Linked DNA regions of Rattus norvegicus. The protein of the gene in region 4 purifies or fractionates together with the protein of the main gene of each other region. This does not show direct contact. Links are inferred from orthologs where the notes say so. Each region holds a gene or a part of one and is shown on either strand. Other genes may lie near its edges. The genes, in order: Cyth1, Sgf29, Cyth2, Inava, Cep170 and Cyth3.

Region 1 (4,535 bases), on a different chromosome or scaffold from region 4:
AGCATCTGTGTAGTCAGGGTTTACTCATTCTGGCTTTTCCACAGGTGGGTGGTCATGTGTGTAATCAAAGGCGGGATTCAGCATTCTATAACAACCCCAAACATTGTGGACGAAGCAAAGGCAACATAGTACTGTGGAACTTAGAGCTTCCTCAAGGTGACCAGGTGACACAGCTGGTGTGCAAGGGAGACTGCCGAAGTTGGGACAGGAGCTGACCCATAGGCCTGCGTGATGACTGTCTCCGCAGTCACAGACAGAATGCTAGACAGGTAGAGAGAGCCAGGAGCTGACTCACGGAGACGCATGTGGAACTTTAGCCAGCACATCCTTTGAGCATGCCTGGCAGCCATAAGCTACAACACTGGATGGCTTGCAGCTGATTCCTGAGGAGCCAGTGAAGTTAGCCAGCCACCCCGTGAGCACCCACAGCCTTCAGAAGCGGCAATTACAGTTGACAGAGATGTGGACGTGTACTACTGGAGTCTGTGCTCTGGGTTAGGGCTTGCCAGAGACAGGGGGAGCTTCAGTAAGGGACTAAACCAAGGAAAAGACACCGAAGGTCCCTGTGGGCAGTTACGTGCCTTGCCATTGCAGGGCTCCAAGGACTGCACTCTGAGAAGTCGCCCTGCAGTTGTTTGTTTGGTTGGTTGGTTTTTGGTTTTTGAGGGGTTTTTTTTGTTATGTTTTTTTTTTTTTTTCTCTCTTTAAGACAGGGTTTCTCTGTGTAGCCCTGGCTGTCCTGGAACTCACTCTATAGAGCAGGCTGTCTCAGACTCAGATCTGCCTGCCTCTGCCCCCAGTGCTGGGATTAGAGGTGTGTACCACTACCTCCCAGCTCGCCCTCCCAGCTTGCCCATCAGCCTTTTCTTGTACTTTTTTGGAAATATAGATCAAAGTAGTATTCCTTGACTTGGGGAAAATGTGGTTAGATAGCCTGGGACTCATACCAGTCCTGAACCTCAGTCAGCCTGGCCAAGCATGGTAGGCTCATGTCTATAATCCCAGCATTTGGAGGTGGAAGCAGGAGGATCGTTATGAGTTTCAGGCCAGCCTGACCTACGCAGTGAGTTTTAGCCCAGCCTGAGCTACAGAGTGAACCCATGTCTCAACCTGGGAAAAAAAGAAAAAAGAGGAGGAGCAAGGGACTTTTTACCTTGGGGTCTGGCTAGTGCCGACGGCTCATTGGCCCCTAAAGGTGGCAGCAGCACATGAGTTCTTCCTGAGCAGCTCATTTGCTCGGAGACTAAAGCCCAGCTTGTCCCGGTTCTACACGTATGAGAGGTCCAGAATTTGGCAGATGTGTACACCAAAGGTAGGTCAAGAGTTAGTTCCCCAGTGGGCTGGAGAGAGGGCTCAGCGGTTAAGAGCACTGACTGCTCCTCCAGAGGTCCTGAGTTCAATTCCCAGCAACCACATGGTGGCTCACAACCATCTGTAATGGGACCTGATGCCCTCTTCTGCTGTGTCTGAAGACAATGACAGCATGCTTACATAAAACAAACAAATAACTAAATCTTTTTAAAAAAGAGTTCCCCTGGGCTGGAGAGATGGCTCAGCGGTTAAGAGCACCCGACTGCTCTTCCAGAGGTCCTGAGTTCAATTCCCGGCAACCACATGGTGGCTCACAACCATCTGTAAAGAGATCTGGTGCCCTCTTCTGGTGTATCTGAAGACAGCTACAGTGTACTTATATATAATAAATGTAATAATATTTATATATAATAAATATTATATATTATATATAATATTTAATATTATATATAATATTAAAAAAAAAGAGTTCCCCTGAGTTGAAAGAGGAATGTGGGTGAACAGGAAATGACTGTGGGGAATTTTGTTGGACTGATAAAAGTTTTCTGAAACTAGTTATGGCAATTGGTAAGCTTATTAAAAGCCCTTCAGGTTTACATATAAAACAGGCAGTTCCACAATGTGTAGACAGCAAAGTTTAAGAAGAAGAAATTCTAAGAGAGGCTATGACTCTAGAGAGAAGGAGGCTTCAGCTGAGCCGGGCTGACCTGTGTGGATGGACCACATTGCTTCCTTACCCTTTTAGGCCTGTCTTCCCACACTGTCAGCACCACATATAGGCTGCTCCAGCCTCCCAGACGTCCTGCCGCCAGAGCACTAACAGCTACACTTGTTTTTCAGGAAAAACATGCAGAGGAACAAACAGGTAGCCATGGGCAGAAAGAAATTCAACATGGATCCTAAGAAGGTAAGCAGAAGGAAGTGACAATTGCCAGACTATTACAGTGGGGCAGGGCCGTGGGGACCTCGGTCTAAGCTGCTCTTCTCTGGAGTAAATGTCAGCTCTTGAGGCTGGGGCTCTGGTTTCTGACTTGAGTCCCCTGTCCCAGTGTCCGGTGGTGGGTGTGTGCCGACACAGGCGCCAGGGCCCACACTCATTCTCCAACCTCTGAGCCAGCATCTCTGCTCTTTCTGACCTTGGTGCAGGGGATCCAGTTCTTAATCGAGAATGGCCTGCTGAAAAACACTTGTGAGGACATTGCCCAGTTCCTGTATAAAGGGGAAGGGCTCAACAAAACAGCCATCGGTGACTACCTTGGGGAGAGGTGAGGCCTTCAAAGCTGGTGGTCAGAACCATGGGAAGAAATAAGCTCCCTGCTGCCTAAGTCATGGGGTGGGGACTGTGGTAGGGCAGCTGGCACCACAATGGTACTGAGTGGAATGATTAACCTACTTGTCCCGGGGCATAGAAGCGCCTTGCTTGTTTAGTTAGCAAACAGCCAGGCAGACAGCCTCCTGACTGGATGGCCAGGCTTAGAGGTCTGATGGGCTGGGACTCTGGGGATGCCATCTGCTTGTGATCAGGATGGGTCTTGTTCAGTGTCGGGGTCTGACGTGTGCTTCCTTCTGTCTCTTGTCTGTCCTCTGATAGAGATGAGTTCAGCATCCAGGTCTTGCATGCATTTGTGGAGCTGCACGAGTTCACCGACCTGAACCTCGTCCAGGCCTTGCGGTGGGTGTTGTCAGCAGGTCCCGTGGGGCAGGAGTATTCTATCCTGTGTGCTATTCCATCCAAGCCTGTCGATGGAGGTTGTTGTGACTGTCATAAAGTATTTTCCAGGGAGGCCATGTACATGCCTGTGTGGGATAGCATTCACTAGGATGGTTTCTTGGTCTTGGGAATGGAGGGGCTGTTAAGACCTTAAATACTGAAATTAGTTCTACTCTTCAGAATAGAAAGCCCTTTCATTTCTTACCCTATAGGTAGCCGTGTATTTCATTTAAAAGAAAGAAAGAAAGATAGAAAGGAAGGAAGAAAGAAAGAGGGAGAGAAAGAGAGAGAAAGAAAGAAAGAGAGAAAGGAAGAAAAGAAAAAAATCAACTATTTTTTCCCCTTGGAGACAGGGTTTCTCTGTGTGTCCCTGCCTGTCCTGGAACATACACTGTAGAGCAGGCTGGGCTTACACTCAGAGCTCTGCCTGCCTCTGTCTCCCAAGTGCTGGGATCATGGGCAAGCTCTACCGCCACACAGCTCAGCTTTAACTCTTTATCAAGCTTGGTTTGTGCCCTTTAGAGACTTTTCCCTGCTCTAGGTATAAATCCTAGGATGACTTTTTGAGCTCTGAGTTTTAAGGACACAATATTGCAGCACTAAACCTGTGGCCATGAACAAATGTGACCCACAGGGTTCCGTAGTGAATGCCCTGGATGGACCTTTCTTTCCCTTAGAGTTCATTTTAAATGATTAACATCTGTCTTACTTTTGTATCATCTTCTAGAGAGGGGCTGTTCTTCTTGGTGTCTCAGTTCAGCTAAGGCCACAGTGGTGGGCAATGGTTACATTTGCTTCTGTTCAGTTTCTGTGACTTCTGTGGACTGGAGCCCCCACTTCCTTCACCCTCTGATATTAAAGCCACACTAGCAGCAGCACAGGTCAAAACAATGCTCCTGTCTTTACCCTCAGGCAGTTCCTGTGGAGCTTCCGGCTCCCTGGAGAGGCCCAGAAGATTGACCGGATGATGGAGGCCTTTGCGCAGCGGTACTGTCAGTGCAATACTGGGGTGTTCCAGTCTACAGGTGAGTGGGGGAGGGAGGGAGAGCTAAGACAAGAGGCCGAGTCCATGCCAAGAACAGTTACTTAATGGTGGGCATAACCTTGAAAGATTCAAAGCATCCAGAAGACCAGCCCTGAGCTACAGTGAACACTTGGTGTGCTTAATGGAGGAGTCTTGCCTCATGTGATTGCAAGCACTGGGTTCAGAATTATAAAACATGTAACTCTTAAAGATGTCTCAACATTGGGCAGTGGCAGAGGCAGGCAGATCTCTGAGTTGAAGGTCAGCCTGGTCTACAGAGCAAGTTCCAGGACAGCCAGGGCCACACAGAGAAATCCTGTCTCAAAAGCAAATTTATGAATATAGTTAGCTAGGCTACTTAATCAAGACCTTGCCTTAAAAAGAAAGAAAAATCATGTTCTTATGAAGATATTCGCATGGGAAAATGATAAGATTAACAAAAAGCCACCCACATGTGTGTATATGTGTATACCTGTCCCCTATGTATAT
Region 2 (5,276 bases), on a different chromosome or scaffold from region 4:
CTGGGTTCGGTCCCCAGCTCCGAAAAAAAGAACAAAAAAAAAAAAAGAATCTCCACACACATTTAGAAATCTGTAGCGATAGGGGTATCTATGTCCCTACTTCTAGCTTCAGAAAGTTGGGAGTAAAACCAAGGATTCACCTGATCTCTCTGACTAATCATACACACTACCCAGGATAACCAGAGTCTACACCTTCTTCACCCCAAACAAGCACACACTCTTCCCTGTTCTGTCTGCCTCAAGTGCCCCTGATCCTTCTCTTCTTCCCTTCTAGGTCACTTTAACTTATTCAACTTTCAAGATTTAAATCACAGTCTACAGCCTAGTTTACAGAACAAGTTCCAGGACAGGCAGGGCTATACATAGAGAGAAACCTGTCTCAAAAAATAAAAATTTAAAAATTAAAAAAAAAATTCAACAAGTTGAGCTTATCAACATTGCAACCCAAGAACATGATATTTACATATGAAGCTGGGGGAGGACAACACAGCTCCCAAACAGCCACAGGCTCCTCCATTTGCCCTCGTCTATGGCCAATCACAACTTCAGGAAAGTGCCTAAGCACTGCATTTAAACTTTATTCTTGTTTTGTTATGTTTTTATTGTTGTTTTGAGACACAGTCTTAGTATGCAACTCAAACTGCCCTGGAATTTACACCTGGAACTCCCAGAGATTCATCTGCCTCTGCTTCCCCCGTGCTGGGATTAAAAGGTGCGTGCCACCATACCAAGCTTCTTTTATTGCTTTAGGGGCAGGGTCTCACTGTGCAGTTCAGGCTGACACTGAACTCACATTTCTCCAGCCTCAGTCTTCACAGTAAACTTCTGTTCTTGCACCTGTCACTCATGTAAATGATGAACTGCTTCACTGACAGCTCTCCTACCAGATGACAAGCATGGAGCATACAGGCTGCTACTCTAGATATCTTTCTGTTCTGCCGGGCCTTGGCACATACTGCTGTCAAATCAGGTTGCTGAATGGAGCTGAGTCCTGAACACCCTTCAAGCAGTCTTTCAACTTAGAACACTGAAACGGGTTTGAAGCTGAGCTACTCAAGGTCTCCTCTGTCTCCATGTTAAGTACTAACATCTTCCGTGAGAGACTACCTACTTCCCCCATGCAGAAAAGAGAAATTATGCCCTTTCATAATTCCATTCAGCAGCATTTACTAATTACCTAAGACATAAGGGATATGCAGTAGTGAAAGGACAATGCAGAATGGACACATATTAAACAAATAGAGCCACATGCCAAAGAATACATCAGAAAAAAAAAAAAGATTGAACATGATGTAGTCCCATGAGATTATAATGCTCAAAAAGATGTATGAGATTATAAACCCAAAACACTTTCATCACCCCATTATTTCTTATTAAACATTTATTTATTGAGTATGGGTGTACATATGCCACAGTGTTTACTGGTTTTCTTCTTACCACATGGGTCATGCTTAGGTTGTCATGCTTAGTGACAACTTCCTTTACCCTCTGAGCCTCTTCACTGGCCCTCACCTAGTATTTTACTGAACTGTTTCTGTATAGATACTCAAATACTTTTCATTTTGTGGAAACCACCTTTATAGTATTTGCTGTAGTAACATGCTACATATGGAGTGGCAGGCTATGCCATGTGGACTTGGTGTGTAGTAGGCTGATAATCTAAGCTGTGTAAGAGCACCGTGTCCTGTCTTAGGATAAACACCTCCCAGTGCATTGCTCCCAGTGCACCCCCTTCAGCATGCAATGCACACATCCCATGTATTTACTCTCGGGATGAAAAAGCACTGAAGCACATGACGGCTAGTTTTAACTTGACATCTAAATCACCCGGGGAAGCTGGCAGTGGTTGCACACTAATACCAGTACTTGGGAGGCGGAGGCAGCTGGATCTCTGACTTCAAGGCCAGCTTGGTCTACAGAGTGAGTTCCAGGACAACCAGGGCTAGACAGAGAAACTTTGTCTCTAAAAAAAAAAAAAAAAAAAAAAACAAGGGCTGGAGAGATGGCTCAGTGGTTAAGAGCACTGACTGCTCTTCCAGAGGTCCTGAGTTCAATTCCCAGCAACCACAGAGTGGCTCACAACCATCTGCAATGGGATCTGATGCCCTCTTCTGGTGTGTCTGAAGACAGCACCAGTGAACCTATATAAAATTATTAAAAATATGTAAAAAAAAAAAAAAAAAAAAAAAAGAAAGTTGAGTGCACCAAAATAAATTTTATTTATTTAAAGTGTGAAATAGACAATGCCCAGGGAGTGAACAGAAAAAAGGCAAGATTAGGGTTTATGTATTCTGAAGGTACGAGCATTAAAGATGAAGAAATGGAAGCAAGAGTTCTTTAGGTTAAGAGAGGACCGAGGCAATGAAAGAGGATGCTACCAAGCCATTATCACTGAACTTGGGAATCCAGAACTCAAGGCGGCTTTGACAGAGCTGTTTCTGTGAGACAGCATGAGACAAGGCCTCCCTAGAGAGGCAGGTGAATGTGCTAATGAGTAGACGCAGACGTCCTAGGATACATGTGTCAGCCGACAGATGAGTGAGCTACAGAGTGGATGAAGTTACTGTTGTGAAAATGGACACCTTTAGGGCTGTGGAGTCTGTAATCTCAGCACTTGGGATTGAGGGAGGACTGCGATCTCACGGCCAGGCTGGGCTACAGTGTCCCTCTCAATAAGAAAGTAGTAAACTGTGCTGATGTCTGGGACCAAGGACCTCACCAGGTGCCGGCCTCTAGACTAGTCAGCTCCAGCGGCTTCCCACCTCTCCAGAGATGTAGGGCGCACGCGCAAACCCCAGGGCGCCGGCTCCCACAGCCCGCCCCCTTCCCCGTCCAGGGCGCGTGCGCGTTTCCGCAGAAGCCGCCTCAGAGAGCCGGGCGCCGGGCAGGAACGCTGGCCTTTCGTTCCCGCGCTGCGTGGAGGTACCTTGCCATGGCCCCGTCCCACCTACCGAGCCCAGGGAAAAACAGCACGTCGCGCTGGTAACTGCGATGGCGGGAAGAGCGAATCACTGGAACGTTTCCTCACACGATAGTCCCGCACTTACGTTCGAAGGTTCGCGGCACGTCAAGAACCACACACGCTGTTTCTCTTATGAGCGCGGTCGAGCGCGGAGGACTCCTCTGCGCATGCCGGGTACTTCTCTGTGACGTGCTGCATTGCACCCTGGGAAACGTAGTTCTTCGATACTTGTGCCTTGATGTACTCAATTTATTAGGTCAGAGTTCTTGTTTGTTTTTTATGTCCCTCGAAAACTTTCATATAAATCAAAGGACCAGAAAAGCATGTGTGAAGCCTCGCCTAACATGTGGGAAGTGATGGGATCGGATCCTTAGCACCAGAAGAAAACAACAAAACCACTTCAGATTATTGGGGATAGGGAAGGAGGGCCCCCAGGAAGCATATGAGAATTCTGTACTTTAAGCTAAAGTTTGCTGTGAATTTAAAATTTATCTAAAAATACTTTTAAATTCCAAATAAGCAGTCTTAGGTTTAGAACTCATAATTTACAGAATCTTCCCAGCAAATAAAAAATATGGACATGCAAACATTTAGCTATAAAGGTATTCTTTGGATGCCTACTTTGTGGATTGGGCAGTTAATGCAGTGGTAGGACACTTGCTTAGCATGGTTCTGGTCTCAATCCCTAGGGACTACTTCCACTCCAACTATCTATCCTAATGTATCATACATAACACCTAAAAAGTCAATATGGTTTGGTGGTTAAGAATACTTGCTGCGGGCTGGAGAGATGGCTCAGTGGTTAAGAACATTGACTGCTCTTCCAGAGGTCCTGAGTTCAATTCCCAGCAACCACATGGTGTGTCACAACCATCTGTAATGGGATCTGATGCCCTCTTCTGGTGTCTTTGAAGAGAGTGACAGTGTACTCATACCTTAAAATAAATAAATGAAAGATCACCAGAATTAGAATGCCAGTACTCACATCAGCTGGCTCAGACTGCCTCTAACTCTAGCTCCAAGGCATCTGATGCCCTCTTCTGGCCTCAGAGGGGACTGCATGGATACATATACACCTATACATAGAACAAAAATTAGTTTTGAAAGTCTTTTAAAGCCTATAATCACATATTGTTATTCTCTGATAGAATTACAAATGCTATAAGGTCAAGATCTTTAGACATTCCCAGTATATAGCACTGTGTCTGGCACACAACAAGCTATCAGATATTTTTCTATTAGCAAACCTTAAATTTTTTTTTTTTTGGTTCTTTTTTTCGGAGCTGGGGACCGAACCCAGAGCCTTGCGCTTCCTAGGTAAGCGCTCTACCGCTGAGCTAAATCCCCAGCCCCTTAAATTTTAACACAAACTATTTTAGCACCCAGACTAACAAGGAAAATTTTAAATATATATATATATGGCTTGGGAAATGCTGAGCAATTAAAAACATATACTACTTTTACAAAGAGCCCAAGTACAGTTTCCAGTGCCCACACTGGTGGCTCATAACAGTCTGTAATTCTAACCCTAAGGGTACTGATGCTTCTGCCTGCCTTTGGCACCTGCACTCACGGGCACATACCCACACACAGACACAACATTTTTAAAGTTTGAAAAAATAATTTTCTTTCATTGAATTAGGGCTAGTCAGGTGCCCTGGTTAATTTTAACAATCAAGTTGGCTAGAGCCACTGGACAATGCCGTCTTCACTGAGGAATTTCCCCAGACAGACCTGGCTTGTGGAGAATTGTCTAACGGATTGTAGGATTATAGGAGTGCACTACCATGTTACCATGTTAATCCTAGCCCACTACCAGTAGCACCATTCTCTTGAAAGGTGATCTTGAACTACATAGGAAAGCTAATTAACAGCATTTGAAAGACAGACAGGTAGATGTCTATGAGTTTGAGGCTAGCCTGTTCTATATAGAGAGTTCCAGTCTAGCCAGTGAGACTAGTCTGGAAAGAAAGAAGTCAGGCATGGTGGCATATGCCGTTGATCCCAGCACTCAGGAAGAAGAGGTAGATTTCTGTGAGTTTGAGGTCAGCCTGGTCTACAAAGCAAGTCCAGGACAGCCAAGGCTATTACACAGAGAAACCATGTCTTGAAACACACACACACACACACACACACACACACACACACACACACACACACACAGGAAAAGGAAGGAAGGAAGAGAGAGGGAGAGAGAGAGAGAGAGAGAGAGAGAGAGAGAGAGAGAGAGAGCACAGCAGCTAAACTTGGGCCAGTGAGCAAACAAACTAGCAAGTAGCACTCCTCCCTGTTTACATAAATATCCTGACTGAAT
Region 3 (3,741 bases), on a different chromosome or scaffold from region 4:
GGGTCGAGCTGCTCTGCCAACAGTATTTCCCATTTCTCATCTGAAGAACCTGAGGCTCAAAGGTGCCTTGCCTGTGAGATGCAGGGGTCTGTCATGGGCTTGATCCTGACCATCACAGCTCATGGAAACATCTCTATCCCCACTGGTTCATCCAGAGGCCACAGTAGGCCATCTTGTTACAGACAAGATATGGGTGGGTGGGTTGACATAGATGGCCAGGGGTTTTCTAAGACCACCTGTACTCCTTAGCTCGGAGTTGAAGGTCTCAGGGAACATGTATTTTCTAGAGCCATCCTGGCCAGGCTGAGCACTGTGGGCAGGGGGAGGTGGTGGCTCCACCCCATGTAGATGTAACTGGTTTTCTTCCTCTCTCCCCCTCCCCTTTGCCTGTTCTCTCGCTGTGGCTCTGGCTCCCTGTGCATCCCTTCCCCGACTCCCTATTTCTGTCGCTGCCGGTTCTTGGGGCACCCCATCCCTCCGCCTTCCCTTCCACACCTGGTCCTGCCTGCTTTCTCGCTGTCTGCCCCAGGAGGTAGGTACCTGGTTTTCTTGCCCCCACCCCCCCCCATCAGATAGGGAGAGGCTGCCTTGGCCCAGGGGGAGGGGCTTGGGCCTCTGCCAATAGAATAGCCAGACCCTTTGGCCCAAGCAGGGGGAACCAACTCCTGGGCGCCCCCCCCCAACCCCATCCCGCAGCTTGTCCTTGCCTGCCTGTCTTCCCTCACTGCCTCTGTCCTAGACCTAAGAACCCTACCTTTCCTGCTCTGCTCCCCCCTCCCTAGCGGTTCCCCGCTGAGCCCGGCCCCTCCCACCCCTTCCCTTGCAGGGGGCCGGGTGAAGACTTGGAAGCGTCGCTGGTTCATCCTCACAGACAACTGCCTCTACTACTTTGAGTACACTACGGTGAGGTGGAGCTTGCAGACACAGGCCAGGATGCGGGGGCAGGGTCCCCAGCTCTCATGTAAACCTGAACTCTTGACTTTGCCTCTTAGGACAAGGAGCCCAGAGGGATCATCCCCCTAGAGAACCTGAGCATTCGTGAGGTGGATGATCCTCGGAAGCCGGTGAGACTCATGAGGTGCCCTGTATCTCCATGTACTGACCCAGGGCTGCTCTGACCTGTCCCCTCCCCTGTATTCTAGAACTGCTTTGAGCTTTACATTCCCAACAATAAGGGACAGCTCATCAAAGCCTGCAAAACGGAGGCTGATGGTCGGGTAGTAGAGGGGAACCACATGGTGTACCGAATCTCAGCACCCACACAGGAGGAGAAAGACGAGTGGATCAAGTCCATCCAGTAAGCCTCATTGGGCTGGAGTCTGAGCCAGGAGGGCTGGGCCTGGGCTCGGGCCTGGGCCTGGTCCCCATCACACCTCTTTTTGCAGGGCTGCTGTAAGCGTGGACCCCTTCTACGAGATGTTGGCAGCAAGAAAGAAGCGGATTTCTGTGAAGAAGAAGCAAGAACAACCCTGACCCTGTCCCCAACTCCATTATTTATTTTGGAGCTGCCCCGCCTGGGTGGCAGGACCCCTGGGCCCTGGGGCTGTGGATCCTGGTTCCCTGTTTGGAAAATCACCACCTCTAGCTCCTGACTCCTTATTTGTAATTAACATGTTGGTAATCTTATTAATTATTTAACCCCTCGCGCCTGCAGATGCCCTCATTTCTTGGGTTTGGGAGAGCTGAGAACCCATCCTCCTGACATTAACCAGGACACTGGGCTTCATACAGCATGGAAGGCAGGCACATCCCAGACGGTGACTCCAGCCCTGGGGGTGCCGAGTGGAGGGAGAATCTAATGTCTTAGTGTGGTTTTAGACTCGGCCTACTCTCCATGTGCTCTACCCCACTGGCCTGGCCGCTATGTTCATGTTGGACCTGTGGTCCTTGGGGGACTTAGTCCAGGAGACTAAGACTAGAACAACAGGAGGCTCAGGAGGAGCGAGTCCCAAGAAAACCTGTGTCAGTCCCTAGGAACTGGCTGTGCTGGCCACTGAGTACCCCATGGTGGCCTGGAGGGGCAAGTGGTGTGTGTCATGAGGTACGCGGGATGCCATTGTGACAGTGGCTTCTGACCCCACGTCCAGCCACTTGTGGAGGTGTTTGTTTTTAACTGAAAGGCCTGGGCATGTGTCTCCTGACTCGTGGGAGGGGATCTCAGTGAAGGGATACTGCTGAGTCCCCAAGTGGTCCTGTCCTCTTGTGCTTCTGGTGGAGGAGAGGATAAAGGACCAAATGCCTGCTGCCCACCTCTAGTGGCAGGAAGCTTTTTGTTACTGTTAAGAGTCAAGCCTTGCCACCTCCTTCCAGTGCCAGCATGCTAGACTGCTAGCTGCCCTGCCAGACAGGAAGTAGTAGTTGTAAAGGAATTTGCCTCTTCCCAGCATGCTTTAGCATGCAGGCCTGACTGGGAAGAAAGGATTCTGCCCCAGGGCCTTCTGGGACTTGAGAGTCAGAAGGTGTGTGTGGATCTGCAACCCTGTGGGTGTATGCCCCAACAGCACTGATCTGGATAAATGTGAGCATCCAGGTTCTAATTTAGGTGGGCTTTGGCTCAGACTACTGTCAATAGGCTGTAGTCTCCGGGGTATCAGCTTTTCTGAAGCTTACCTTGACATTGGGAAAGGAGCATGAATTACCTCTCCCCCTCCCTCCAGGGGCTGGTGTGAAATGGAGATTCCCAAATAAAACAACTAAAGTGTCACCCAAAGGGCCAGGAAAGTGCTGGGCAGTGAGTATCAGGTTCTTAGCCGCCCTCTCACCTGTCTTGTTTGCCTCTGGGGTGAACCCAGGACGAGGGAATGGTGGCTGGGAGGTGCTGCCTGGGATATGGATTCCAGTTTCCCATTCGTGGGTGTCCTGAGCTTGGATGCTTGTCTTTCATACTTTACGACCAAGTTGTCTTGGCACAGGAGCTTGCACTGATTGCCAGGATAAGGGGTGGGTTTGAGCTGGACAGTATGTTCTGGCTTACAAGTTAAGGTGACAAAGACATGAGAGCAAAGGAAAACCCAGTGGCAGGGCTCCTCCTCACCCCAGGATCATTGCCTGCCAACTGGTGACTAACATCGGCCAAGGTAAGCTGTGGCTACAGGAGGCAAGAACAGGTTATACAGGCCTGGCTGTGGAAGCTAAGATGTGAGGCAGGAGAATAGTGTGTTTAAATGAAGTGGTGGCTGGGGTGATCTGAGAGTGAATAGAGGGGAAGGTGGAAAGGGAGGAGGTCTCCAGTCCTTGGGGACCCAGTGACTAAAGCAGGAAGCAGTGGAAGAGCCACCACCATGTGCCCAGGGCTGTGACAATCCACCATGCTTGATTAAGGATCTAAAGGGAACACTGCCCAAAGTTTGTGGAACATTCAAGTCATAGCAAAATGCTTAAGCCACCCTTCAGGCCAAGTGTGGAGGGAAAGGGACTCATTTCAATCCATGTGCTAGGTGAGGCAGAAGAATCAAGGTGTTCAAAGCCAGACGGAGTTATGTGAGACCATGCCTTTCCCAGTGCCCACCAACATACCCACATAAGTCCCCAAAGTGTGTGTTTGGACAGGAGGCCACAGAGGGTGCCACGTAGAGATGAATGCAGAGTAGGGGCAAAGCACAGACAAGCCAAGGAGTGCCGACAGTTACCTGAGGCCAGGCTTGCAAAACCACGGAAGAGATTTTTCCAAATACTGATGTCGATGGTCTTGGTCTTGTAGCCTCCACACTGTGAAGCAGTAAGTTTCTGCGGTTGAAGATA
Region 4 (5,236 bases):
CTCAGAATCATTGCTCTCCTGACACACACATGAATGAACACCATAGCCTCAGTCTCCCAGACTAGGATCTAAAAACCTCAGACTGAGCTGGGGGTTGTGGCAGGCACCAGTAGCGACTTGCAGTCCCAACTACTGGGATCTGAGGCAGGAGGATCACAGGAGCTGGTAGACTGAGGATCAGCCTGGGCAACAGAGTAAACCTGAGCAAACAGACTGAGCAAACAAAAACAATAAAAACAGAAGGAAAAGACTGCTGGGAGTTGTTGGAACTCATTGGCCGACTACAAGCCAGAGGTCTTGGGTTTAAAACCCAAGACACCTAGAAAAGGACCTAGAAAAGAAACAAAACCAAAGGGACAACAGAAACAGGCCAGGGTGCTTTTGCAGAGACTCCAGGGCGCTGGGAAGAAAGAAGATAGCGCTGATTTCTTTTAATCCCAGCCACATTAAGAGCACCACACGCCGGTTGCAGTCTACAGTTGTTCCCTATTCCACACAACAGTAGCAGCAACCTTAACTCACTCTCCACACTCACTAAAATGGACCTTGGTCCAGGCAAAAAGTCAGCCTCCGGGCTCTCTGTCCATGGACCCTCAAGCAAACAAAAATTTGCTTAAAATACATTGCTTTCGAGTGGCAGCAGCGCTGAGGCTGCCTGCTGCCTGCTCCCAGAGGCTAGAAGGATACAGCGGACTGGCCTGCATCTCTCAGATCTTTGTCTCCTCACCTCCCACCCTCCACCTCTGGGACCCAGGTATCAGGTCTCAATATAGACCCAAGCTGCTTCCTTCTCCCAGCCCCCATGCAACACTGTCCTCGCTCTCCGTGCCCTAGCTGGCTGTTAAGCATCTCCCGTGTCACAGGCTGCCACCACCCTTCACCAACAACCCCATTCCTTCTACACACAAAACCCCCTCCCATACCTTCACATTCCTGTACACACCCTCTTTCCAAACAATGCTAGCCCCAGAGTCCCTCAGGCTGACCACCTCCTCCAAGCAGAAGCTGAAGGGCCCTCACAGGGGACAGACCCTCCCCACTGTGGTGCTCTCTGAACCTCCCAAAAAAACCGCACGGCCCTTCCGATCTCCCCCATAAAGTCCTCCACAAGACTGAAGTCCCTTCCCATCCCCCAACAGGTTTTCGTGTTCTTCCAGCGTCTGAAAGGGCTTGAGCTGCCTAGGCCCCTCCCCCAGCTCCAACTGGGGACTGTGCTGGAGTTTCTAGAATCAGCTAATAGCTCCATTTTTAGTGTATAAAATTAAGAGGCCAATTACGAAGTCCGGTTATGCTGAAATACAGTTCTGAAACTATAAAAACATATCACGTACGCTTCATTGTTAACATTAAACAGGACCCAGCAACGGGTCGTCCCAAACAACCGATGAATGAAACTCTTTACATATAACCGACCTCAAGGGAAAGTCATAGGCACTGCTACTGCTGCTGCTGCCTGAGGTGTAAGTTTTAGACTCAACTGAGAACTCTGGCCTCAGGTAACCTCATCTGAATTCAGGGACAAAAAGCAAAATCGGGTTAAGGCCTGTACACACCAGGACATAAATTCTTTAAACTGTCTTCCAGGAAAAGCCTCCAGGCCTTCACTAATGATTCTCAGTGCTCAAAAACCAGCTTTTCAAGAACGGACTTGAGCAGAAGCCGGGTCACTGACATCATAAACCCAAATCCCCTCTAGCAGAACATAACCGCCACCCAAACCCACCCCAAGAAATATGCAACCTGCAAAGAGGCAAGCCCGGCAGCCAATCAGCAGTTCCCTCACTCTTCTCTGCCCACCGATCAGGGAGGAAGACTTCTCCTCAGGGCCTCCTGCAGGTCAGCTGTGCAGCTGAGCTTTTTCTCTTTTTGCAGAAACTCAGCGCTGGCACGGGCCTCCATTGAAGATGGGTAGCAGTCCGTCGCTCAGTATTGGACTTACAGACCAACCTGCTTGCACTGATCCTTAACTGTTAAATACTCCAAGTCTACACTCAGTATTCCCCAACCCCCTAGAATCTAGGGTTTGGAATTAGGCTGACAAGCCAACAGTCCTCCGGTCAAGATGAGTATTGAGGGAAGACAACACCAAAGGATAGGTGATCCGGAGGTAGCATGGAACTTGGAACTCAGCACCCAACTCTAGGAAGCAGGTAGCTGACACTTTCCCTGATCCCAGATCCCAGAGCACTAGTTACAAGGACAGGTGAAGAAGTGAGGTTTCCTTGCAGTGGAATTCCATCTAGAAGGCAGCCCTTTCCACGAAAACCACCTCTTCAAAACCTTTCGCGTCCAAACTCTTGCACAGACCTGTAACCAAACATACTCCACTCTCTCCGCTGCCCCTAAAGTTGCTTCCAAGTTTCCTGTGATACTTTAGGAGTCAAAGTTTTTTTTAAACCAAGTTCTTCAACCTTACCACAGCACTCAGCAAAGTACAGCCACCAGCATTCCCGCAATTACAAATCAATGGCCAGTCCCAGCAACTCACAGCCGGGGCGGGGGGGGGGGGACCACGGGAAATAGTCGGGGACTCTCTGGGCAGGAGAGGTGGAAGAATATCTCGTTTGCTTTCTCCACTCTCCTCTCTGGCCACTAGGAATGGTGTTCACCTCAACTAAGCTAGGATGGAGAACTCGAGGTAACAGAAGATGCACCCTGAAATAAACCTCTAAGGCTCTCCGTAAAAAACCCCTTTGTCCTGCCCCCCCAGCCCCTCCCCCACCGCGCCCTCTCCTTCCAGGCTGGCCTGGGACTCGGGCTTCTTTTGTTTGCCTGCTTTCTGCCTTCTCGGAACCTGGCCAGGAGATCCACCGGTCCGGGGAGAGAGTCGAAGGAGAAAGGTTGGCGGTTGGAAACGGCTTTGGGGTGGAAATCCGGGAATTCTCAACCCTTTGGAAAAATTACCCCCTTTCCCTGCAAGACTCCCTCTGCAGAGGATGAAGACCGAGGTTCAGGAGCTCGATTCCCCCCAGTTCTCCCGCGCTCCGTTCACTAAGTTTCTGCCTTACCTGTCCCACCGAGCTCTGGCGCCCCGCGCCTGCCCCCGCGCCCCCTGAGCCCGTCGCGCAGCTTCAGGACCTGTTGGTCCCGCCCATCTTCCCTCTCCCCAAGGCTCCCCCGGTCCTCCCCTCCCCGGAGGTATTTCATTTAACTTCGGCATTTGCAGCATCCCAAATGTTAAAGATCCCAAGACATCTGTCCCCTGGGGCATACCAAAGGCCCTGTGGAGAGAGGGGAAAATGCTAGAAGAGATTCGAGATTCTGATCCAAGAGACGGGGCGGGGCCTCACGTTGTGTTGGAACGGTGCCAGCCCCAGTGTGCACCCTGCGGGAGCAACATCGCGAGGGACGACGCTGCCCCCTATCTCCCGCATTCGGGCAGCCGCGTGATGGGACACCCCCTGCTAGACCGGTTTCTGAAGTCTGGGCGGGACGAGGCTCGACTAGAGGTCTTAGGGGCCGCCTTTCATCCCCTCGCTCTGGCCCGGCTGGGGGCAGTTTTCATTCCGAAGACCCTAGCGTGGAAGAATGAAAGGAGACGGCGCGCCCCTCCCCCTCGCCTATCCCTTCTGGCGGCCAGGGACTGCGGCTCGATCGAATCTTGGTCGCCTCGCCTCCTGAGTTCCCAGCCGTGTCCCTTTTGGGGGCGGCGGGCAGAACTCCGGCTTCGGAGGCAAGGCACTCACTCCGGGCAGCGCCTCCTGCTGCTTGCGACGAGCCCGCGAAACCGTCCATTCATTCAAACTTGCGCTTTCCTTTTTTCCGTTGGTTCTGTTTACATTTGTGCTGCCCTTGTCAGGGCCAAGCATGGCGGTTCCAAGTCCAGACTCCTTCACTAGAGGGTTCTTAAGTCTAGATAAAGCTAGTATGATTTTGAAAACCAAAGAACCAAAGGATAGTGGATGTTGACCCAGGCTGCGCGTCCCCAGAGCCTGGCCAGACGAGTGTGCTTTCTAAAGAGGGACCTTGTCAGGCAGAATGTACAAGACATCTTGGCAAAGGAACTCAGCAGGACCTTCGAGCTGTAGGAGATTTAAGATAGGGGTGGAGAGGAGAGAGAAGGTTTTGACAGTTACAGAAGACTGGGGGAAAGACTTTCCTGGATCTATTGGATACTGGTTCTGAACTGACACTGATCCCAGGAAATCCCAAGAAATACTGTGGCCTGCCACAGTGGCTTATGGAGGACAGGTGATTAATGGAGATTTGGTTAATGTTCAACTCACAGTAGGTCCCCAAACTCATCCTGTGGTTATTTCCTCAGTTCCAGGATGTATAATTGGGATAGATACACTTAGAAGATGGCAGAATTCTCACATTGGTTCCCTGTTCTGGGGAGTGAGGGCTATTATGGTTGGAAAGGCTAAATGGAAGCCTTCAGAGTTGCCTCTGCCAAAGAAAATAGTGAATCAAGAACAGTATTGTGGGCTGGAGAGATGGCTCAGCGGTTAAGAGCACTGACTGCTCTTCCAGAGGTCCTGAGTTCAATTCCCAGCAACCACATGGTGACTCACAACCATCTGTAAAGAGATCTGATGCCCTCTTCTGGTGTGTCTGAAGATAGCTACAGTGTACGCATATACATAGAATAATAAATAATTTTTTTTAAAAAAGTATCATATCCCTGGAAGGACTGCAGAAATCAGTGTCACCACCAAGGACTTGAAAGATGCAGGGGTGGTGGTTCCCACCACATCTCCCTTTAACTCTCCTATCTGGCCAGTGCAGAAGACAGATGGATCATGGAGAATGACAGTTGACTATGGAAAACCAAATCAGGTTGTAACCCCGATTGCAGCTGCTGTACCAGATGCAGTTTCATTACTTGAGCAAATTCAGATATCTCCTGCTACCTAGTATGCAGCTATTGATCTAGCAAATGCCTTCTTCTCAGTACTTGTCCATAAGGACCAATAGAAGCAATCTGCTTCCCGTTGGCAAGGCCAGCAGTATACCTTTACAATTTTGCCTCAAGGATATATTAACTCTCCTGCCCAGTGTCATAACTTAGAAGGTATCTCGACCGTCTGTCGCTTCTACAGAATATCATACTGGTGCCCTAAATTGACGACATTATGCTGATTAGACCAAGTGATCAGGAGTAGTAACCACTCTGGACTCATTGGTAATACATATGGGTATCAGAAGATGGGAAATAAATCCCAAAATTCAAGGATTGTTTATTTCAGTGAAATTCCTAGGAGTCTAGTGGTGTGGGCCTGCAGAGATATTCCTT
Region 5 (5,318 bases), about 41 Mb from region 4:
TATTAGAGTCATACACTACCTAACAGTCTGAAGAAAAATCATTATGCATTAAATAGTGAAAAATACTTATCGGGAACAGAATTTTATTAAGTGAATAAACCATACAGGGGCTGGTTAAAGGAAGGACTTGTTGAGTAAGCAAGACTACCAGATGGTTCATATGGCCAGAACCCATTAAAATGCTGAGTAGGCCTGGTGATCTTAGAGATGTACAGTTAGGCTCAGAAAGTAAAGATAGGAGGCCTCTGGAATAAGCTAGCTAGTGAGACGAGCTTTATTCATAAGCTATCGGTTCAACGAAGACTCTGCCTCAGAATCAATGATGTAGAAAAGCAATCAAGGAATATTTCAGTTTCTGGCTTCTATGTGCACAGGCAAACATGCATGCTCCAACACATGCAAACATTCATACACACATGCGTGCAAATATACCACACACATGGAAAAGAGAAAAAGAAAGCAAACCATTACAGACACAAAGTTCAAATAACAAGCTTTTACCACCAGAGGTGAAATATCTGATCACTACCAGATGCAATAATAAAACTGAGTAAAGATAAAGTAGTAAGAAAGTGAAACAAATTACTAATTACAGAATTTTAAAAACCACCTTGATTGTTTACATCAGCATGCAGAAGCCATATTGATGTTTATTCTAATGCTAAAATAAAAAACATGAAGATCATGTATTCCACACAAAACATTTTAGGATACCATGAGATTTATTGGTAAGATATACACCATTAATCCCAGCACTAGGAATGCAGAAGCAAGCAAATCTCTGAGTTCAAGGCAAGCAAATCCCTCTGAGTTCAAGGTCAGCCTATCTACAAAGTTCTAGGACAGTCAGAGCTACACAGAGAAATCATGTCTCAAAAAATCAAAACAAAAAACCCAAAACCACAAAGCCCACAAACAAACAAAAATTGGCTGTAATCGAATATAAAAATAATATTAAGATAGAATAGAATTAAGAACAAAAGTTAAATGTTAAAAGTTCCACTCTAATAAAAGAAGCCCCCCAAATGTTATCAAAAGGTGAGTTCTAGTATGAGTTGAGAATATAATCCATTAAAGAAAAACCAACATCATTAAGTTCTTGTATGTATATTTTATTTTTAACACAGTTTATAGAATTGATTATGCTATAAAATATTAGGACATATAGTACATTTTGGTTAATAATCAGGGAAGCTTTTTTTTAAGCAAAAAAAGCAGATTTTCTCTTAGTGTATAAAACTCAAGCTCCACTTCAGCATAATTAATAATATGTCGAAACATAAGGATAAGATTAATACAACTGTGAGAATTAACTGATGCAGACCACTCAAGGACCATGTAGAATATGTTCTCTAGACCTGTGCAGGGCAGAGGACTACGGCACACACATAGGAGAGATCACACTGCAATACAGATCTGGTTTTATTTGGCTCTGCCTTCCATTGCTTCAGAGTTGGCAGACAAGTCAGTCAACTTTGCCTAAGTTAGTATCCTCTTAGTTTCTCGTAAGCCCAGTTTAGACTCATGTTTTAGGGCAGCAACTTTTTATAGTGCTTAACAAAAGGAAAAACTAAAAACTCCGCGGGTTTTATTTTTTAAAACAATGGCAAAAATACAGACTGGTTGGCTTGTAACGTGCCATTTCTCAGTATTGAATTTCTCAGTCTCTTAAGGCTAATACATGGGACTTTATTGGTAAAGACTTAGGTTCTGTATTTATAATCCAACTCTCACATTATCCCTCCACTTGCTCCTCCTCATCCTGCTTCATCCTATGGTCCGCTTGCTTTAAGCAACAAGGTTGGCAAAACACTACAAATACCATAAGCTTACGATTTCAAACGGTTTTACAGGATGCATTTTCAAGTAAATGTATTGTCTGCTTCAACAAATTCCTCTCCAGTGGTTGAATTTTCATTAACAGAATAGAAAACAAATCAATTTCAGAAACTGAAATATAGCTGGCCTATTTTTTTTGTTTGCTTTAAGCGTATCCTAATGTATTCCCTTAGGAACATGAACGCATTACCCACCCAGTGGAAAAAATAATTCTGCTGGTTCATTTCCCTGCTAAACAACAGCTTCGCTGTCAAACCCTACGTAAGCCCAGCCTTTATTGTCACCTAGTAATTTTATATTGATCAGCACGGCAGACTTGGGACTCTAGCCTGTATAGCCTGTCTTTATATTCTTTGGGGAACCGGGGTCAGGACGACAGTTTATACTCAAGACCAGAAAACAGAGATCATATGACTTAGGATACAATTCCTCATCTTCCCGTACGTGTCACGCAGCTGCTATTTCTCCCCCTTGAATAAAATGGAAGTGAACTAGACCTAAACCCTACGACTGAATCTTGGGACAATGAAGCCCACAGGAAGCCACTAGCTCCTCCCGTGGGTTTACTACAGAGCTAGAGGCTACGTGGGGTACAGTCGTCCGGCAGGCTGAGTGACAGCACGTCTTCCACGCCCTCCCAACGCCATCAGAAGGCTCGTCGTCCGAGACCCCCTCCCCACCGCCGCCACCCTCCTCACACCCCGAAACCAACCCTACAAAAGGGATGGGCGCCCTGGTAAACTCCCTTCCCCAGCGGCCGCGCAGCCATTCCCTCGACGCTCCGCCCGCAGCGCTCCCAGGCAGCTCAGGCGGCGGCGGCACAAAGCGAGAGCGAAAAGAGGACCGGGCGCACAGAGGGGAAGCCGGCCCCGGGCAGCCGGCCGCAGCCCATGGGGGAGGGGAGGGCGGCGGCCGCGCGGGGCGTCCGGGTGGCGCCCCTCGGCTTCCAGGCCCGCACTCCATCCCGCCGCGGGCCGCGCCCCGGCCCCGGCCGCCAGAGCTGAGGATGTGCAGAATCCCGAGCCTTGCGGACCCCGAGCGCATCACTTACCCCTCACCGCAGAGAGGGACCGGACCGGGAGGCGGGGCGCGGCGCGTCCCGTCAGTCTCTGCCACGCTGTCCTCCTCCCACCCCCTCGCCGTTGTCGTCGTCCTCGTCGTCGCCGCCGCCGCCGCCGCCGCCGCTGTGGAGCTGGGGCCCCCTCGGTTCCGCTGGGCAATAACGTTATTCCACACACGCCCCACACATAGCGGGAACAGCAGCGAGCGGCGGCTCAGTGCGCAGGCGCCTCGCAGAGGGCAACCAGCCAGGCCCTCTCCCTCCTCCTGCCAGGGCCCAGCGATACCTCACTGCGCAGGCGCCAGACCCAGACAATGAAAGGGGGCTTTGCAGAGGGTCTCACCCACTCGCTCTCCCAGCTACCCACTGCGCAGGCGTGTCCTCAAGACCCGCTTGAACAATGAAGAGCGGCTTGGCTGGAGTGGGACCGCAACCAACCAGGACTACGATTCCCAGCGGGCAGCGCGCCAATTCCATACGGAGGGCGGGGCTCTGGGCAAACTAGGAGTTGCAGTGTCCGCCGCCTTCACAGAGTGGCTGTTTGTAAGATTTACACTTCATTTTCTAGAGAAAAACAACTTTGACACAAATCCTGACTGAAACCGAGTTTACAGTGAATCCTTGCGAGGGCTCAGGGGTCAACTCCACACCGGCACATTTTGAAGAGTCTAAGTCCTTCACCCGGTCCGTTCTGTCAGCGGGTCGATCCAGTTGGCTGAGGATGCAGGACAGTGGGACTAATCCAAGCTATGCAAAAGAAAAGGGCGCGGCCTGCAACCGGTCTCTTGGCAACGGGCTCAGGCCGCTAAACTGCCGGAGAGGCGCCCGAGCGCATCGCCCTCTGGGAAGCGTAGTATAGCTGGAAGGCTCTTAGCACTCTCGAGGCTACAAGCCTTGAACCTAAGAACTACAATTCCCGACGTTCACCATGAGGGCCAGGGGGTAGGAAGAGCCCCCAGCAGCCCCGTGCGAGGTTCCTGTCTCCCTAGTGACAGCAGCTACAGGAAGCAGGCAGGCATCCCCCAACCCCCAACGCTAGGCCTGTCCTCGGAGGGGTGCACTGGACACTTTCCATCATAACTCCCATCTCTGACCCCATGGCGAAGTCCCCAGGGAACTCTACCCTGGAGGACAGTCTGGGGCAATACCAACGGAGTCTCCGGGGTGAGTTGCTCCGAATCTCGATGCTTAGGAGCTCCTAGGTACCATGGGCAATATTGGGTTTTTTTCCAGACACTTTCCATGAGCACTACCCAGGCTGAGGAGGACGAAGACGGATATTGCACTGATCTTATGGATCAAATCTTTTAGTTTTGCTTCTAGGATTAAGTAGCACTGTTACCTCTGATTCTTGTGGTTACCTGACCCAACAAGGAACCTAAATCTTGATTTAGGTGTCTTATCAACCAGTGCCAGCACAAACTCATGGGCAGCTCCATGTCACTTCTACCCTGTTGCCATACTGTTGCTGTTAAATCCAATAAATTTCTTATTTATAAATTTTACACACGTAGATTTTGGTTGTAGTACAGCAGGTCTGATGTATAAAACAAGAAACAAAACACTAACAGTTATTTGAAATAATACAATACTAATCTATCTACACTATTTTCTTGTAGCTAAGCATTTGAAACTTTATCTTACTAATGATCCCATTTTACCTGTCAGGAAACCAAAGCTCAGAGAGGTTGAGTTGTAGGCCAAAACTCACACCTCTTGTTGGTAGTGGCAAAGGCAGGTATTGAATTCAGGCCTATCCACCTTCAAAGCCTATGCCTTTCTTATTAATCAAGTCACAATTCCTATAGTTGAAGCCTGTTTTACTTAATTTCAGGTTTTCTGAGCAAAGTACCAGAAGAATGATTATCTGGCAAAGTCATACAGCTAGCTGGCTCTGTTCTTTCAACAACGTGAGCAACCTCTGGAAACCTGAGACTTTGTTTAGTGAATTTATAATGTCAACTACATCATAGTTATTATGGAGAACAAATGAACAAGACAAATAATGAACACAAAACTGATTTATTTATTTATTAACGATTTAAAAAAATCGTTAATCCGTAGCAAGAAATGCATGCCAGGGGCTTAGAATGAGGCTCAGTATTAGAGTGCTTGCCTGGCATGTGGAAAAGAAGGAAAGAGATGGGCAAGTAAATGTGGGACCTAGAAAGTAAAAATTTGATGAAAGACTTTATTCTACAGGTGATGACGTACTTTTTCCTGTTCTGCATTTTCATAAGCCCTATATGCTATGCCCAACAGTTAAAATACTGAATCATTTATAACCTGGATTACTCCACAAATAATAACTGAACGTCTGATTTGAGTTAGTCTCACTAGGTGAGGAATGGGCCGCAAATCTCTATGGCGTGGAGTCTTTGAATTAATGGGGTAGACCAGAAGCAAAGCAATTACAGAT
Region 6 (5,122 bases), on a different chromosome or scaffold from region 4:
TCCATTTCTCTGTGGATTTGTCACAAGCAGCTAAACATCTTATCAGCTTGCAGAAGCCTATCTTGCAGTCTAGGAAGCAGCAGAATATCCGGGGTTATAATTCTTGAGGTTATCAGGAAATTGGACTCTTTGAAATCATCCTTTAACCTTGAGCAAAAGGTGAAGGCTGTCTGCTTTGACAGATGGACGATGGAGGAAGCATCCTTTGATTCAACGGGCAATTTGTAAATATGAAACAGTTGCTGGGAAATTTTATTACAGACGAACCATCTCCTCCCTTATAATGTTTGCTTCTCTTTAATGCAATTTAATTCGAGCAGAAAGGCTCGGGAGGGTACACAGGCAATGCTAAGGAGAGGTTACTGGAAACGAGACATATGGACTGAGAGAAGCAAGCCATAGATTTGGAACAGGGACGAACTGAGGCGGTCTGCCCAGCCCTGGGCTGTGCCCACGGGAAATTGAATTCAGAGCTCCCACTGCATCATAAATCCAGGGCAGCTGGCAGCAACCCAAGAGAGACTAAAGCTCAACTCCAAGGGCATCTGACGCCAGGCCGGCCAACCTCTGTAATCAGGCTTTTTGAGAGCTGGGCCCCAGCTGTGCTGGACTGGGATTAGGGTTCAACGTCATGACTACATTCATTTACAAACCTCGATACTTTGTTAATTTTAAAATGCATCCAATCCGCAGGAAAAAGAGACTCCATTTTCATTATACACGGAAGGGATAAAAGGCTGGAATTACCCTAACATCTTGAGGATGAAGAAGGGAGGAGGTGGGGAGAGGGAGAGGCTTCTTCACAGTGGGCTCATTTTCAGACGATGATGATGACGATTATTATTATTGTTATTATTTCAGACAGGGACTCACTAGGTATCTCTGGCTAACCTAGAACTCACTATATAGACCAAGCCCACGAAGAATTCATAGAGATTTGCTTGCTGTCATCAAAGCATCACACCCAATTTTTATTATTTTTAAAATTATTTTTTAAAATAAACATTTGAAAAAAAAATTATTTAGCTGGGCATGTTGGGTCATCCTTTTCTTTTTCTTTTCTTTTTTTTTTCCCCTTCGGAGCTGAGGACCGAACCCAGGGCCTTGTGCTTGCTAGGCAAGCGCTCTACCACTGAGCTAAATCCCCAACCCCTTGGCTCATCCTTTTAGTTCCAGCATTCGGGTGTCAGAGGCAGGAAGACCTCTGAGTCGAAGGTTAGCCTGGTACACACAGAGAGTTCCATGATATTGAGGGCTATGCAGAGAAACCCTGTCTCAAAAAAGTTTTTCTTTTAAATTTATTTTGTGTGTATAGGTGTTTTGCCCGCGTGTATGTATGCACCACAAGCATGCCTGGTGTCGTTGGAGGCAAGAAGAGTGTTCCAGATAACCCTCATATGAGTACAGGTGTCTTTGGAGGCCAGAAGTATCCGATCCTTTTTGGAGCTGTAGTTACAAGGGTTCTGTGAGTGCTGGAAACAAACTCTGGCTCTCTTCAAGAGCAGAGAGTGCTCTTAACAACAGAACTATCTCCTCACACAATTATTACTGTGTGTATGTCATGTTTGGACGCCCATGCATGCTGCGGTCACAGTAAAACTTATAGTTAGTTCTTTTCGTTGAGCCAATCATCATCAGCCTTCCCTTCCAGATCTTTTCCCACTCCCCTACTCCATGCACTTGCGAGTCGCAACATAGCCATTTGGTTTTGTAGAGCGGGGCGTCCTCGTGCTCCTGATAGACACGGCTTCCTCTCCAGGATGCTCTAGAGGGGCAGACACCAGGTTCGAAGGAGGGTGCAGCGCTGCAGGATCCAAGTCTCTAGGCTAAGCAGCTACTGCAGCTACTGCAAGGCCCGGCGGAGTCTGGAGGGCGGGACCACTAGGCGTCTAGTCTCCGCCCACACCCACAGAGGGGGGCGTGGTTTATGTCACGTGACGGCGCCGGAGCAGCGAGGCTCCGCCCGGCCCTCCGTGGAGGCCCGGCCGCGACCCGGGCCGCGCACGCTGAGGAGCTCCTCCGTTCTCCCCGCGACCACTTCTCCTAGTCCCGGCTTTCAGCCCAGTCGCTCCCGCCGGCTCCGGGCTCGCCGGCTGGCTGGGAGTGGCCTCAAGATGGACGAAGGCGGTGGCGGTGAGGGCGGCAGCGGTGAGTGATGGAGGTGTGGCCGGCTCTCTGGGCGGCCCTGAGGCCGGGGGTCGCGCTGTTGAGAGCCCTGGCTTGAGATGTGGGGCCGGGTGTCGGGTGGGTTGGTGGCGACCGTGGGGAGGTGCTCGGGGTAAGGCCGGGACGCGGGCTTCGCAGCGTTGGTGAGAGGACAAGTCGGAGACCGCAGGGTCGTCGCCCAGCGCGGTAGCGGGTCGCGGGTTCGAGGCCAGGGTCTTCGCTGCACAGCTCCAGGTCGCCTTTCCGAGATGGGAGCACATTGCGGGGCGACCTTCCCAGCGTCTCATTGCCAAGGGCGTCCACGCCCTCCCTAGTCCAGCTGTTTCGGACGGGCCCCTCTCCTTTTCAGCTCTCCTCAGGTGTCTGGAGCTTGGGAGCTCGTGGATGGGGAGGGGAAAGTTTTCAATTTGGACGCCTCGGGGCCCGGGGGTGGGGTCTGTTGGATCGGTCCGGGGGAGAGGAGGAAGGTTGGAAGTCATAACAACGTCTCCGGGTTTTAGATCAGAAGTACTCGTTGGGAATGGCTTAAAGGACATGAGGGACAGGCAGCTCCAGTCCAGGTCTGAGTATGCATTTTTATCAAATAGAAAAAAAAAATGCTACAGAGAAGGGGTGGGGTGCAAAAATAAAGAGGGGGGCAAATAGCTGAATGATAGAATAATTGTCTAGCATGGCCCTGAGTTTGTTCACAACACCACCAAATGGAAAATATAATTAAGAAATTAAAGGGGTCAGGTGGGATCTCTCTAAAGCCGAGGGTGGGAAGCGGGAGCCACAGCCAACAAGGCTGTAAGACTCCAGGACAGGTGTGTGTGGCAGACACCCTTCCTGAGGTGGTTATCATTTCTCAGGGGCAGACACCCTTCCAGAGGTGGGTTATCAGTTCTCGGTGTTGCTCAGGCTCTATGTGCCTGACTTTGAATTCTGTCCTCCTGCAGATGTGCTGGTTGCAAATTACTCAACGGATTACAAATTCCTGTTGTATCATTTCATGAATTTGGTTTCCCAAAACATTAAGAGTCCCCGTTCGTCGAGTGGGTCTTTGATTGAGAAAGCAAGGGGTTAATAATGTACCCATCATTTTTACCCAAACACCCCAAGTTGAAGCTGTCTGGACTTTGAGTAACGATCTTCCTTTTTGCTGACAGAATGATCAGAGTCCCATGTAATAAGGGAGTGTTTAGGGGGGAAAAAAGTCTTAATTACAGGCTGCTGGAGCAGCTGCCTGTAAGAATCAGCAATATTGAAGACTTCCCCGTGAAGTGGTTAATCAAGGTGCCTTCTAGAATTCCAGAGCTTCTCAGATTTTTTTTTTCCTTCTCTGTGAAAGAAACGGGGTGGCTGGGCTGGTAGGAAGTTGGCACTCCTCGTGGCATTTGCCAAGTTCAGTTCTCATAGTAAAAGCCAGGGGTAGCACAGTGGCACCGAGTGGGTGTTTTGTTTGTGAAAAGAAAGAGCCCAGTTGCAAACCCTCCTACAGACCGGCTGCGGGGCTGGAGGCACTGGATCCCTGTGGATGCCTTGCCTTTCGCCTATATCACAGTTTGACATAGTTTAGAAAAGACAGGACAGTGGCAATTGGACATTGGAATCCAGGAAGCTGAATTGGGGACGGCTTTGCAGGTGCTGCAGTCTGTTGAGTCAACATGTGAAAGATTTGAAGGTAAAAGCAGATACAGTGGGGGAAACTTAGAAGCCAATGTGTTTCAGCAGTCCCTGGAATTTGAGAAGTATAATGAAGGTCAATATTAAAGTAGCAGGAAGGCTTAAAGCTATCTCTGGACCATTAATGTCTCTGGATATATTAATGTACCAGAGAAACACTCTTAAAATTAAAAAAAAAAAAAAGATGTTCAGTTCAATGATACTGCACTGTCATGGCCAACAGTTAAAAAATGAGACACAGTAACCGCGACCAGGTAAGGTTACTTCAGGGAGACATTACAAATTGACAGCTGGAGCTCACTCTCCAGGAGCCACATGGTGGAGGAGGGCCCTGCCGCCCACAAGTTGTCTTCTGACCTCCTCAGGCAAGCAGCAACAAGCTTGCGCACACATGCAGTTTTAAAAAGTTACCAAGGACAAGCAGTTCTTTTATACATTCTGATCTAAACAATGTAAATACTGCTGTCATTATGGATTTTCTCTTATATTTCCCAGGTTTTTTGAATAAGAACACATGCTTTCAAATTTAGACCAAAAAAAAAAAAATCTGGGCTTATAAAAGATCCACATATTTTAAACATACAGCGTGATTTAATTCACCTTCCTGGAACATTTGACAACAAAGAGATTTATTGATTTTTTTTTCTTTCCCTGCTGGAATGCCAGACAGTGTGCTATGTGATAGAAAACGGCTTTTTAATTTTTATTGATTCAGCTTATCAAAAAAAAATCTTTCCTGCTCACATTGTGGTAAGATACTTACGGGTGCTTTGGCATCTTTTTTTTTTTTTTCCCGAGAGTTGGGGACCGAACCCAGGGCCTTGCGGCCTGCTAGGCAAGCGCTCTACCACTGAGCTAAATCCCCAACCCCAGGAGAGACCTTTAATCTGCATCTGGGAGCCCTGTTTCAGCTTTCTTAGAAGATTAAAAAAAAAAAAAGCTAAATGTATTCGAATAGTAGTTAGAGCAGAGGGGAAGGTGACTGGCAGGGTTTTCTTTATGGTTAGTGCGTTGGTCAGGCAGAAAGGACTTCAGGGATGGTCGTTTTTATAACTGAACTTCTTGTCCAGGCTTTCGTTATTTGTTCTTTGCAGTGCTCGATAAGGCAAGGATGGCGCATGAATGGCTGGAAGGCGGTTACAAGGAGGGGCGAGTGGGGTACGAGATTACAGGAACACATTGTTCCTTGGACTGTGTGCAGAGTGCAGTGAAGGTGTTTTCCCTTGCCTTGGCACTTGGTACCGTTCAGTTCTTCTAGAACAGTTCTTGAACTAGGCCTCTACTTAGAAAG

What was found.
Region 1: the proteins of Inava (region 4) and Cyth1 purify together in Homo sapiens (co-immunoprecipitation; 3 studies listed by BioGRID and IntAct, counting the BioPlex papers as one, with this or other methods). This does not show direct contact. The link is inferred for Rattus norvegicus from reciprocal best matches to the Homo sapiens genes INAVA and CYTH1.
Region 2: the proteins of Inava (region 4) and Sgf29 purify together in Homo sapiens (co-immunoprecipitation; 3 studies listed by BioGRID and IntAct, counting the BioPlex papers as one, with this or other methods). This does not show direct contact. The link is inferred for Rattus norvegicus from reciprocal best matches to the Homo sapiens genes INAVA and SGF29.
Region 3: the proteins of Inava (region 4) and Cyth2 purify together in Homo sapiens (co-immunoprecipitation; 3 studies listed by BioGRID and IntAct, counting the BioPlex papers as one, with this or other methods). This does not show direct contact. The link is inferred for Rattus norvegicus from reciprocal best matches to the Homo sapiens genes INAVA and CYTH2.
Region 5: the proteins of Inava (region 4) and Cep170 purify together in Homo sapiens (co-immunoprecipitation; 3 studies listed by BioGRID and IntAct, counting the BioPlex papers as one, with this or other methods). This does not show direct contact. The link is inferred for Rattus norvegicus from reciprocal best matches to the Homo sapiens genes INAVA and CEP170.
Region 6: the proteins of Inava (region 4) and Cyth3 purify together in Homo sapiens (co-immunoprecipitation; 3 studies listed by BioGRID and IntAct, counting the BioPlex papers as one, with this or other methods). This does not show direct contact. The link is inferred for Rattus norvegicus from reciprocal best matches to the Homo sapiens genes INAVA and CYTH3.

Annotation. Positions count from the first base shown.
Region 1 is NC_086028.1:103,921,434-103,925,968, reverse strand, and holds part of Cyth1 (cytohesin-1), read left to right. Parts: intron 1-2,151; coding exon 2,152-2,218; intron 2,219-2,457; coding exon 2,458-2,576; intron 2,577-2,902; coding exon 2,903-2,983; intron 2,984-3,934; coding exon 3,935-4,047; intron 4,048-4,535. UniProt on the Homo sapiens protein: Promotes guanine-nucleotide exchange on ARF1, ARF5 and ARF6. Promotes the activation of ARF factors through replacement of GDP with GTP.
Region 2 is NC_086019.1:190,666,868-190,672,143, reverse strand, and holds the start of Sgf29 (SAGA-associated factor 29), read right to left. Parts: upstream 3,117-5,276; 5' UTR 2,952-3,116; intron 1-2,951. UniProt on the Homo sapiens protein: Chromatin reader component of some histone acetyltransferase (HAT) SAGA-type complexes like the TFTC-HAT, ATAC or STAGA complexes.
Region 3 is NC_086019.1:105,418,611-105,422,351, reverse strand, and holds the end of Cyth2 (cytohesin-2), read left to right. Parts: intron 1-824; coding exon of another isoform or gene 825-826; coding exon 827-903; intron 904-992; coding exon 993-1,064; intron 1,065-1,142; coding exon 1,143-1,297; intron 1,298-1,385; coding exon 1,386-1,473; 3' UTR 1,474-2,721; downstream 2,722-3,741. UniProt on the Homo sapiens protein: Acts as a guanine-nucleotide exchange factor (GEF). Promotes guanine-nucleotide exchange on ARF1, ARF3 and ARF6. Activates ARF factors through replacement of GDP with GTP.
Region 4 is NC_086031.1:50,235,045-50,240,280, forward strand, and holds the start of Inava (innate immunity activator protein), read right to left. Parts: upstream 3,387-5,236; 5' UTR 3,212-3,386; coding exon 3,009-3,211; intron 737-3,008; exon of another isoform or gene 1-736. UniProt on the Homo sapiens protein: Expressed in peripheral macrophages and intestinal myeloid-derived cells, is required for optimal PRR (pattern recognition receptor)-induced signaling, cytokine secretion, and bacterial clearance.
Region 5 is NC_086031.1:91,282,894-91,288,211, forward strand, and holds the start of Cep170 (centrosomal protein of 170 kDa), read right to left. Parts: upstream 3,098-5,318; 5' UTR 2,891-3,097; intron 1-2,890. Other genes in the region: Sdccag8 (serologically defined colon cancer antigen 8), read left to right, coding at 3,997-4,063.
Region 6 is NC_086030.1:16,044,300-16,049,421, reverse strand, and holds the start of Cyth3 (cytohesin-3), read left to right. Parts: upstream 1-1,993; 5' UTR 1,994-2,114; coding exon 2,115-2,148; intron 2,149-5,122. UniProt on the Homo sapiens protein: Promotes guanine-nucleotide exchange on ARF1 and ARF6. Promotes the activation of ARF factors through replacement of GDP with GTP. Plays a role in the epithelial polarization.